Linked DNA regions of Arabidopsis thaliana. The protein of the gene in region 2 interacts with the protein of the main gene of each other region in a biochemical or structural test. Each region holds a gene or a part of one and is shown on either strand. Other genes may lie near its edges. The genes, in order: ZTL, PRR5 and LKP2.

What was found.
Region 1: the proteins of PRR5 (region 2) and ZTL form a complex in vitro, tested with the Arabidopsis thaliana proteins (3 studies listed by BioGRID).
Region 3: the proteins of PRR5 (region 2) and LKP2 form a complex in vitro, tested with the Arabidopsis thaliana proteins (one study listed by BioGRID).

Annotation. Positions count from the first base shown.
Region 1 is NC_003076.8:23,239,474-23,243,229, reverse strand, and holds the start of ZTL (Galactose oxidase/kelch repeat superfamily protein), read right to left. Parts: upstream 1,804-3,756; 5' UTR 1,634-1,803; coding exon 1,389-1,633; intron 559-1,388; coding exon 1-558. UniProt on the Arabidopsis thaliana protein: Component of an E3 ubiquitin ligase complex that plays a central role in blue light-dependent circadian cycles.
Region 2 is NC_003076.8:8,356,568-8,360,323, forward strand, and holds the start of PRR5 (two-component response regulator-like protein), read right to left. Parts: upstream 1,980-3,756; coding exon 1,754-1,979; intron 1,499-1,753; coding exon 1,337-1,498; intron 1,258-1,336; coding exon 1,127-1,257; intron 972-1,126; coding exon 517-971; intron 424-516; coding exon 1-423. UniProt on the Arabidopsis thaliana protein: Transcriptional repressor of CCA1 and LHY, thereby controlling photoperiodic flowering response. Involved in the positive and negative feedback loops of the circadian clock. With RVE8, forms a negative feedback loop of the circadian clock.
Region 3 is NC_003071.7:8,195,715-8,199,470, forward strand, and holds the start of LKP2 (LOV KELCH protein 2), read right to left. Parts: upstream 1,770-3,756; 5' UTR 1,542-1,769; coding exon 1,297-1,541; intron 669-1,296; coding exon 1-668. Other genes in the region: AT2G18920 (uncharacterized protein), read right to left, coding at 2,039-2,446.

The DNA.
Region 1 (3,756 bases), about 15 Mb from region 2:
AAGCGGCCCCAACCGAGTCTTTTAGCACCAGGAACAGTCTCTAATACCCGTGTTGTTTCACTTCCCCATGCATTCTGACAAACCCTTCGCCAAAGATCCTCATTCTTTGTCAGCACATATAGCCTGCGGCACACAGAGCTAACAGATGCAACGTCTCTTGGTGTCAGGCGTGACAATATCTTCATAGACACAACCTCGTCACTCAGCTGGAATAACCCACACATTCCTCGGGAAACATTCCGCTCCCCAGCAGCTAAAGCTGAGTATATCCCATCAATTGACTTTTCTTTTGTTGAAGATCCAAGAACAGGTCCAAGGTCAATGTCTGTCTCGATAAAGAACTGGATTCCAATTATATGGGTAATAGTATCATCGTCTCCATAAATAGGAGTCAACCGCAATCTATTCATCAACGGAGATCCATCTTTCCTAAAGTTCAACAACTCGCCTTGAAATTCAATGCCCTCATCAATACATTTTCTTATCTCGGAAACAACCATAGAGTCAACTAATGGATGCCTTCTTTTAGCAAACGGTCCTCTACATTGCAAGAAGCGGCTGCAGAATCCGAGAAATTAATTAAGAAACAATATAAGACCAAAAACAAAATTTATCTCCAACTTACTGATGCGGAAAAGCAATAGACAAAATATTTGGCCGTGCATGTAGAGACTGAAAAAAAAAACAAATACACCAAACAAGCATAATTATAACCTAACCAGATTTTCATTCTGTTCAAGAATAACAACTATTTGAACTGATCAGCTCCTCCTGTAAGATCAAAGCTTATTAATAAAGGAAGCTACTAGCACTTCTCTCATGGAAAACTAACACACAACTAAACGCATTGGACTTAGCCTTTTCACTGGTTCACTGCACATCAACATTGTAAAGAATTTATTGTGTTCGCTACGACCCCGAGAAACTACACAGGGATAGCTCGCTTTATCTCGGCATCTATATACACTTTCAAGTTTCCTTAACATGCGGAGCAGCTGAAACAGCTCAAAAACAGCCATGAGAGCTCGATTAATATGAAAACTACAATCACTGAATAAACATCTGAAGGCAGAGAATACTTAGGCACACACAGAGACTCCACTGAGTCTTCTCTGCCATTTGGCAGAGACTCTAATGATTATCTAACAATAGACATATCTTTGTTTTCTCTCCACCAAAGTATCCATCCATACTAAATCTAGTGATCAATAGAGTGTCCTTCAGATTACCATCATCACAAACATTCCTCACCTATCCTCAAACTAAACGGACCTTAATCAAACTCCACCAAGTAGCCAAAATTTGGTAAAGTGAGCCAATAACCAAAAATAGAAATTCCTCGCATCAATTAGAACACTAATCACAAAGATAACAAAAAAACAACTAACCAATTTCCTCCGAGAACTTCCTCAGCACGATACCCTGTAACCATTTCGAAGACGGTGTTGACATATATAATAGGTTGGTCCGGCTCAACGGCATCAGTAACAACGAATCCACAAGGCGCCGTGTGAAGCAAATTCCCAACGGGATATGGAATTGGTCCACCTCCGGGAAAAAGACCTCCCTCTTCATCATCCGCCAGTGACGAAGCATCATCGGCGCTTAGATCGGAACCACTGTCCCACTCCATGAAAATTCAAATAGTTACCAGACTGATTTCAGTCGCCGGAGATTATGAAGACGGCGATTGAAAAACAATCCGGCGTGAGATAATCGGAAAATTTTGGGAAAAGGAGATTTTCGGGGGTTGAGAGAGAGAGAGAGAGAAGATGGTGGACAAAGAAACGAGTGGTAACCGTCGAGTTTGGTGGAAAAATCTCGGCCGTATGAGTTCATTCGAACGGGTCGGATTTTATCCGGGTCCGGATTTCTCTGTCGGGTCAAGTAGATAAAACCATAAAACTCCCCTTGATTTTTGGGAAAAATGTCATTAAAATCTCCAACTTATTGAAAAAGTTGATTTAAATTATCAACTTCCAACTAAACGAAATAAATATCAAATTTTTGTTGACTTTCCAAATAAATACCAAACTTTCGTATATATGGTCATATTAGGTATAATATTAAGTAGATTAACATATTGCGTTCACGGAGTTAATTTTCTGTTAACAGATCCGTTAATTTAAAACGTTATTGTTTCCTATAACAAGAAAGCGACCTCGTTTTATTATAACGACCGAATTAAATTCCCAAATCCAATCTTAAATCTCCAAATCAAGCAAAATTCTAACCCTAAATCTTCATATGATTTGAAATTGGGATTTAATTGAGCATTTATGACATAACGACGTTGTTTTATTGTTATAGGGAATATTGTCGTTTTCAATTAACGAGTCTGTTAACAAAAAATGGACTCTAATAACAGGGTCTGTTAATGTCATACTTAATATGGCTACTCGAACAAAAGTTTGATATTTATTTGGAAAGTCAACCAAAATTTGGTATTTATTTGGAAAATCAACAAAAGTTTGATATTTATTTCGTTTCGTTGGAAGTTGAGGATTTAAATCAACTTTTTCAATAAGTTGGGGATTTTAATGACATTTTTCCCTTTGGTTTTTAGACTCTCTTTAGCTGAGCTGAAGCTTATTACTTTCCAAATTTGTGGGCTCATGTCTTACAATAAAGCCCATTACAATAAAGCCCATTATAGTCCAGTAAATGAGATTATGTGACTGAATAGTATGAGTTTCGTAATAAGAAGACGCCATAAAATGGAAAAATAGCAAGATCTATAATTATAGTTACGTAAATGAAAATTTGTTAAGGTTGTTGGTTGCTAAATCTTTTCTTGAACCGTCTCAATTATCAATTGCCTATCATTTAATCTCTTCTGTAATGTTCCTTTTATACGCAGAGGACCAAACTAGTTACATCAAATCAATAGATAGTTAGTTGAAACAAATAACTTCTCGTAACTACTGGTTAATCGAATCGGTTCGGTATATCATAGAATCATAGGTGCAAACAGACTTTTAAACCAACATCAAACAGCTGAATTGGAATTAAGATTTAACCCAACTTTAGTGTTTTATATCAACAATAATAAGAATAAGTTGTAAGTACTTATATATAAGTAGTTAAGTACTGTTTTATATCACCAATAATAAGACTGTTTTATAAGCCTAAGTTACCGATATGGGGCAACTATCTTATGAACTTTATTTGAAGGTTATTATCTCATGAAATGAATTGACATACTCAATTTAACAAAACAGGCTTACCTCGTGTTATTAATTATAAGTTTCGTATAAAAATAATAAAATTGATAGTAAAAGTTAAAACAAAATGGAGAAATTGTTTGTAATGATGCTAAATACAATTTTTTTGTATTATATTTCCCTTACAAAGTAGCAAATTGGTCAAAATTCTTCGTCACCTCTTTCTTTTTTCCGACATTCTTCACCTCGTTCTGTAAAACTACTAAGTAAGTAACTAATACAATGCCATACGACTAAACAATATCTTCGCAAATAAAAAGAAAAAGAAAATATTTCTTTTAAATTATGGTATTTAGTTTTTAACAAAAATATAAAATATAGCGATTTACATTTGTATTACTGATATAAATAGATCATATAATTTTGACATTAAAGACTTTAGAAAAATTATAATTGTAAATATTTTTTTTGTGTATGACAATTTAACACATAAAAAGGACGTGAGAGAACAAGTGGGTTTGGTCGGTTGTTTTCTTTACACTTTGCAAAATTCTCTATTCATTCATATCTTCGACGAGATGCTAAAATGCCC
Region 2 (3,756 bases):
TCTACATCCATGGAACAATCCCGGTCTTGTAACCCCTCGGGTTTACTGTTGAATGGGTGAAACATGGAACTGTACTCATGCGGGCTAACGGAACTAGGGCTTGGGGAGAGTGAAGCAGGAGCCATTGCAGATGTATAAGCTGTGTTGGGATCTCTGAACTGTATATTGTTGATAGGGGTTGGCGTAGGGTATGAACTCTGTCCCGGCCAAGAATTCAGCTGATTACTAAACGGTGGACCAGGTGAGTCAGCTCCAGTGTAAAAGCTGGTGTCGTTTCTTCTTGGAGCATTTGGAGGCGGTTCAGATGTATTGTATTGGTTCATTAGCACAATGTTATCATCTTGACTTGCTGCAACATTCTTTCTTTGATCAGTAACCACTGGGGAGGCTGAACATTGTGTCTGCAACGGCCTGTGAACGTACCTGCAACAAGAACATAACACACACAATCAGCAGAAAGAACGACAACTATTGAACGATTAATAGAAAGAAGAATTGAGAAATTAGACAACTCACCGTGTGAAAGCTGAGGCACTAGAAGGATGAAGAGAAGGCCGGTCTCCAGAAGATTGGTTCTCAGAAGCATTAGGTCTTCTCAGAGAAAGATCAAGCTCTATCCGAGATTCGTATTGAGCAACACTTTCTTCTCTGTTACGTCGTCCAGTTCTTCTAAACGATGCTCCCATGAAGTCAATGGCTTCTGCTTGCTTACTCTGCAACTCATTTGCTAGAAGCCGTGTCTCATTAAACTGAGACTTTGCGCACTCCATCTGTACTGCGTCTCTCGCACTAACCTCCACGTCTGCGCTCTCACCTTCCATCTCTGGTCTTGTACACGAGCTCTGGGCATCACCACCATTCCCACTCACAACATGATCGTCTCTCTTTCCGTTCGAGTTGTTTGCAGACGCACCCTCGGCTTTCTGCTGTCCAACACTCTCATTCCATGGAAAGCTATCAGGAGCAAGTGACTGTAAAAGATAATCAAAACCAAAAACAAATCTGAGAACTCAATCATCTTTTCAAGACAACGAAATTTCCCAGAACTTATATAAGAACGGGTTTAAGTTGTAGAGATAATTCATCACACATAAAGCTTAAAACAAAAGATGGATATGAAACATACAGTTTGTCTTCTCCAGACATGCTGCCAAAGATTTCTAAGCTCATTCCTCCTCAACGGCTTAACAAGATAATCAGCCGCACCTTTCAACATACACTTATACACAGTATTCACCGAGTCCTGTGTCGACATCACTGGAAAAAAAAACAATACATAATGAGCCAAAAAATCATTTCAAAACGATGGAAGAAAAAGATGTATATATCAACGTACTTATAACAGGAATGTTCTTGCAAATATCATGCTCCATGATAAGTGTTAGCAGAGCATATCCAGATATTGAAGGTAGATCAACCTCTGTTAATATCAAATCAACACTTTCAGGCTTTCCTTTTAGCATCTCCCAAGCTTTTAAGCCATCAGGTACTGCAGCAACTGATCAATACACAAAACCAAACCACATTAATACAAATCCTTTTAGCTTGTTGTAGAAACTAAGCGTTGATAAAGATTTCTATATGAACACAAAACCGACAAAAAAATCGTTGACTTTTCTAAATTTGACTTTGAATTGTAACATTTAGCCGCACGCGAATCAGATTCAAAACATTAGCATCTCAATCGAATTCATAATTCTCAGATTCTATACAAACAAAACCTAAATCTCAAGCATTGAAACCAGAAACTAACCTCTGTAACTACATTTCCTGAGAAGAGCAGCGATAATCTGTCTAGTAGAATCATCAGCTTCAACGAGCAAAACTCTAAGCGCGATTTTCGGGAGAAATCTCTCCCACTTCACCAAACCATCAACACCGGCGTCTTTCTTCCGAATCTTCCGACGTGATAACTTTCCTCCGCCAGCTTCAGGTGCTTTAACCACCGTCACTTCAACTACTTCCTCGCTACTAGTCATTATCACAACACAAACACTTAGCTTTGAAAAACCTAAATCGATTATTGAAGAAGAAGAAGAAAGCTCCAGAGAAAGAGAAACAGTTACAAAACAAATCAAAATATTTGTGAGTGGAGAGATAAATGAGAAGAGAGCAAAAAAAAGAACTTTATTCTTTCTATAATAGTGTGGAGAAAAGAAAATATCTAGAAAAAATCTAGCGAATGTTTTAACGGTTATGATTGAAAGTGGGTGGCGAACCGACCATGATCTAACGGTTGTGGAAAGAGTATTTGGATTTGAAAAAATATCTAGTAGAATTGGCTGACGTGGCCACGTTTGCCACATCAGCAAAATACTGTATACGAGACAAAAGAGATCCAATACGCCAAATAACCTTCTTTTAAGAAAAAATTGGTGTGGTGGCTAGCCTTTGGTTTTTCTATGTGGTTCATATTTAAAGTTGGATTTAATTTTTTATTATACTTTACCAAAATATTTATTGCAATTGATGTTTATGTATTTGTGATGGAGAAATATTTAGTGAATTTCTTGTTTATTTTTCTTTTAATAAGAGATCAACACTAAACATTGAAACTATTACTTATTTGATGCTTCTAAATTTTACTTTTATTTTAAAATGTATTTTATATTATTGTTCAGACATTTTAGCTTTTGAGTACCTATAAAAATCCCACTCGTGACTTTTGGGATAATACCAAACCCAAAAAATATCTAATGCTAGTGGGAAAAAGTATCTATACAAATTTATCCAAAAACAATTGTATTATTTTCTGTTTGGTACATAGGTTTGCAATTTGTTTATTTTAAAAACAATAAGGATATTTCAATTTTTTTTCACATAAGAAAATCAAGGACACATGGTATAATTTATTTTCTGAAATAACAAATAAGAACTTTTTGTTAATGAATTAATTATACATATATTTCAATATTATTTTTTGGCACAAAAAACATTTGCTTACACCAAATGATCACTGGTGCTAACTAATAGCAAATGTCATATATTATTTTATATTTTTTCGGCCAGCCATATATTTTAGTCACGAAATAAGAACACTTTAATATTGATTTGCATTAGAAAAGAAATGGAACAATCAAACAAATGAATATCGATCATAGAGATTCATAGTTTACCAAATTTTTATCAACATTTTGGTTTTTTCTATTGCTACTATTTTGGTTGCGTGGTGGAATAAATCAAATGGAACATGCACGAGTCAAGAGTAGGGACAAAGGGTGATGAATTTTAAAGTAATTTTCCGCGGCTAGATATTTTGTTGTTGGGTGGGATTAGATTAGAGACACTTGTTTAAAAACCTCGTGGTTCTTTGGTGGATAGGAATATGACACGTGTATGGTTATTATCTGACACAGTCTTTCACCTTTAAATGGTAGCTGTCACTGTCAGAGACTAAATATCTTCTTTTTTCCTTGTCTCTTTACGCGCCCGCGAGTGTAATATATCTCTCCTACTCGCTCTCTTGTAACAAGAGTCTTGTCCTACGCTATGACTTTCTTTTTTATTGACTGGACCCTATGGTTTTCTTCTCTTAATCAAACTTAGTAAACTACTAGGTAATAAAAAAGGACAATTAGTGTAATGATCAATCAAACAAATGAAGAAAATGGTTAATAATAAGCCAGGTGGTTTAGTTCCTTGTACTAGCACTTCATGCGTTAAACTGAGAAATAGGTTTAGGCCGGCGTGTTTTATTGACAAAAGAAAAATAAGTGCTATATAGGAAAACTATGTCAGTGACAAATTTTTATTGTT
Region 3 (3,756 bases), on a different chromosome or scaffold from region 2:
TGTTCCCAACTGCACATGCGCTGAAATTACACCGAGAAGGCTCAACAGTACCTCCAACTGAAAACTTCCTCCATGCTGTTGCTTCGTGAGTGGTGAACTCTCGGGCCAGTCGCACCCAACCAATCCTTTTTGCACCGGGAACACTCTCAAGAACACGTGTTGCCTCGGTACCCCATGTGTTTTGACAGACCATTCTCCACACATCATCATTCTTTGTCAACTCATTGAGCCGCCTACATACACAACCAACCGATGCAATATCACCAGGAGTCAACTGTGACAATATCTTGATAGCTATTACTTCATCACTCAGTTCGAATATCCCACAGAGTCCACGAGAAACATTACGCTCTCCGATTGGTAAAGCAGAAGTAAATGAGCGAGATATTCTAGGAATTTCTTTTGCAGATAAATCAGGAGATGGGCCAAGATCAATTTTTGCATCTGTAAATAAGAGAACGCCTATGAAATGAGTGATTTCGTCTTCTTCACGGATAGGGACTAGACGCAGCTTGTTCATCAAGGGAGATCCATCTTTCCGAAAGTTGAGCAACTCGCCTTGAAACTCGATGCCATTTTCTAGACATTGTCGCATCTTCGCTACAATTGTAGAATCTACCATTGGATGCCTTCTTTTAGTAAATGGCCCTCTACATTGCAAGAAACGGCTGCCAAATAAAAAACAACAGCACAAATCAGATACAAGACCCTCCTATTCAATTCATCGAATAGATAACTAACAACTAAACAGATACAGTACTTTGGCGAACAATTCCTCACACACAAGTATTGAACAAAGACTAAACTATATGCATAATTAACATGGAATACCAGATCAAAAGCCGCTAAAACCCAAGAGAAACATATTCAACAGAAACATATATACTTAGACAAAAACGCATTACAATTCAATATTACAAAAATCAATAATCCCAAGGCTTTCATAAACCAATCAAGACATGTGAAAAACTATCAAAGTTCGAGTTCCTAAACACTAATCCACAGACATAGGAAACATTACAAACTGAACCTCACATTATAGCTTAGTTCCTCCACAACAAACTTCTAATTCAATAACCAACCCATGATTCCAAAATGGTTCTAGCTAATAATACCTAACATAATCAACAAGAACCATAATAATGAATCGAAATATAAATTTCTTTCTGTCAAAACAGCTTTCAACAAAGCTTTCTAGTAACATCGTACCAATACCACAAATGAGACAAAATTCGCTACAGTAAAACAAAATCAACACCACAAATTTAGGGTAAAAGTCAAGAAGAGCAAACTCACCAATTTCGACCAATAACTTCTTCAGCTCGATAACCAGTAACAATCTCAAAAACAGTGTTAACATAAATGATAGGGTTGTCAGGTTCAAGAGCATCGCTGACCACAAACCCACACGGCGCCGTGCCAGGAAGACTACCTACCGGAAACGGAATCGCTCCGTTATCTCCACCGAACCATCCATCCTCCGCCACTTCATCTCCACCGCTGAGATCGGAATCACTATCCCACTCCATTTGATTTTGCATACACACCCACAAAATAAAGCTTAAGCCCACTAATCTTCTTCCTCAGCAACAGGAGAAGAGACCCAGAAGAACAAAGTTTGATTTTGAATCGAGGAATCTGATATCTGTAGGTAATCGAAGTCTCCACAGGAAAAAAGTTCCAAACTTTAGACAAACCCAGAAATCGTCTTCTTCAGGAACAGGAGATAGAAGAACAGATTTTGAAATGGAATCGAGCGAAGAAAAGAGGAATCTGATATTTGTAGGTAATGGAAGTCTCCACCGCCCACTTCTAAGAGGAGGAGAAGAAGAAGAAGAGAGATGATTCGGTCGGTCGATGACTCGGCTCTTCTCAGTGCCTCTCCTTTTCCATCTTTAACCAGACCGGTTTCTTAATTTTACCTTACCGGTTTAGTTTATCTATCCGGTTTACACAAAATATCCTGTAAGTTTCTTATGAGATTTTTTTGGTTTTACCAAATGAGTGTATTAGAATCAGTTTTATTGATTTAAAAACATTAGAAACTTGAATTTATCATGAAACCATTGCATCCAAAACCCAATTCTTGCTCATCGAAACGTTCTCCGTCTTTGCTGAATCCAGTAATAGCTTCAAGCCAATCAATATTTTCCTCTTCTTCTAGAGCAACAAAAGCCGATGCATAGTTGGCTTGAGCAAGACATCGTACTGCAGCCCGCCAGAATGGTGTACGCTTCGGGACATCAAGACGTCTAAGAGCGTTAATAACATCTTGATACAAAAGTACAACACCCCGTCTTTCACGATACTCCGTAATAAAGTTTCCACTATTTTCGATCACGCTTTCAATGATAGACCTTCTTCGAGGTTGCCTTGCACGTCTAGAAGAAGTTTGTACACTGTTACGTGTTTGTGTTACGCCTTGGTTTTGGGTGGTGTCTGCCATATAATCTTGTGTGTTTAGAGGGTAGACATCATCTTCAACTATCCTAAAAGACGCTTTATGCAAATGGAAGAAGGCTTTTACTAAAGGTCAAACCACATTTTTCTGCGGTTTTGTCTTTGCTCTGCAAGTAAAGTTTTTATGTGAAACAAAAACTAATTATGTTGATGTTGATTATTTGTATAATGTTAATTGTTTTTTATTTTTTCGTGTAGGTATTTGCATTAGAGCGATTTACTATCTTTCAACAACTATTTCCATCCAGTTTTCCTTTAATGGTTGAGTGGGCAAAGATATATAAACCGTATACCAAAAATTGTGCCAACAGAAGTGGGGGACACTATCAAGAGATGCTTGTAGACATGAAGGAAGATGAGGTACCTAACAAAATTTCATCTCTTTGTCATATGCATTTGTTCTATATTAAATACTTAGATTATATTTTTTCAGATTAAGTGGCAGCCATATAGCAAAGTTATATTGCCCAAGGAATACACCTCTCAATTGAGTATGGTATTTGCACATGTTCCATGCATCTGCTTTAACACCATCGCATACAACCGAACTATTTGGGAGAGCCACTAAATAGTTTTCCGATTAGGAATGACGAGACCTTGGAGATGGGAGAGCCACCAAACAAGTGGAATGAAAGCAATAGATGGGTTGACCATTCACATGTCACTGAGGTGGTCGAGACTTTGCCGGAGAAAACCAGTAAATCGGCTGATGCAAATGTGAATTGTCTTTTTTTTTTTTTTCTAATACAAATGAATTTGGTTCTCACTTTACTTGATTTAACAGCTGGAGTCCTTGGATGAAAATCACAAGGAAGCGAATGAAGAGGAGGGAGCGAATGAAACGATGGGAGTGAATGAACAAGAGGGAGCGAATGAAACAGTTAGTCATTCTCAATAATACAAATGAATTTGGTTTTGTAACATATACTCTAGGATATTAGAAAACTAAATATTAATAACTGGCAGGAAAGAAGTGATCTTCGACTTCTTAAAAGAGGAAGAGACGAACTACTTAGAAGTGAAGGAAAATTAAAACCAACCGATAGATGTACTCCATCTTTTTCGCACCAGAAACATGCAGGGGAACAAGAAACAAAAATTCCGCTTGATAGCCTCGTTTCCTCCAAAATCGATAGGCCACGCTTGTTTCTTGATAGCCTCCAAAATCTATCATCTCCTCGATTTTGGAGGAAACGAGGCTATCAAGCGTAATTTTTGTTTCTTGTTCCCCTCCATGTTTCTGGTGCGAGAAGATGGAGTAAATCTATCTGTTAGTATTTTATCTCTTCCTCTTTT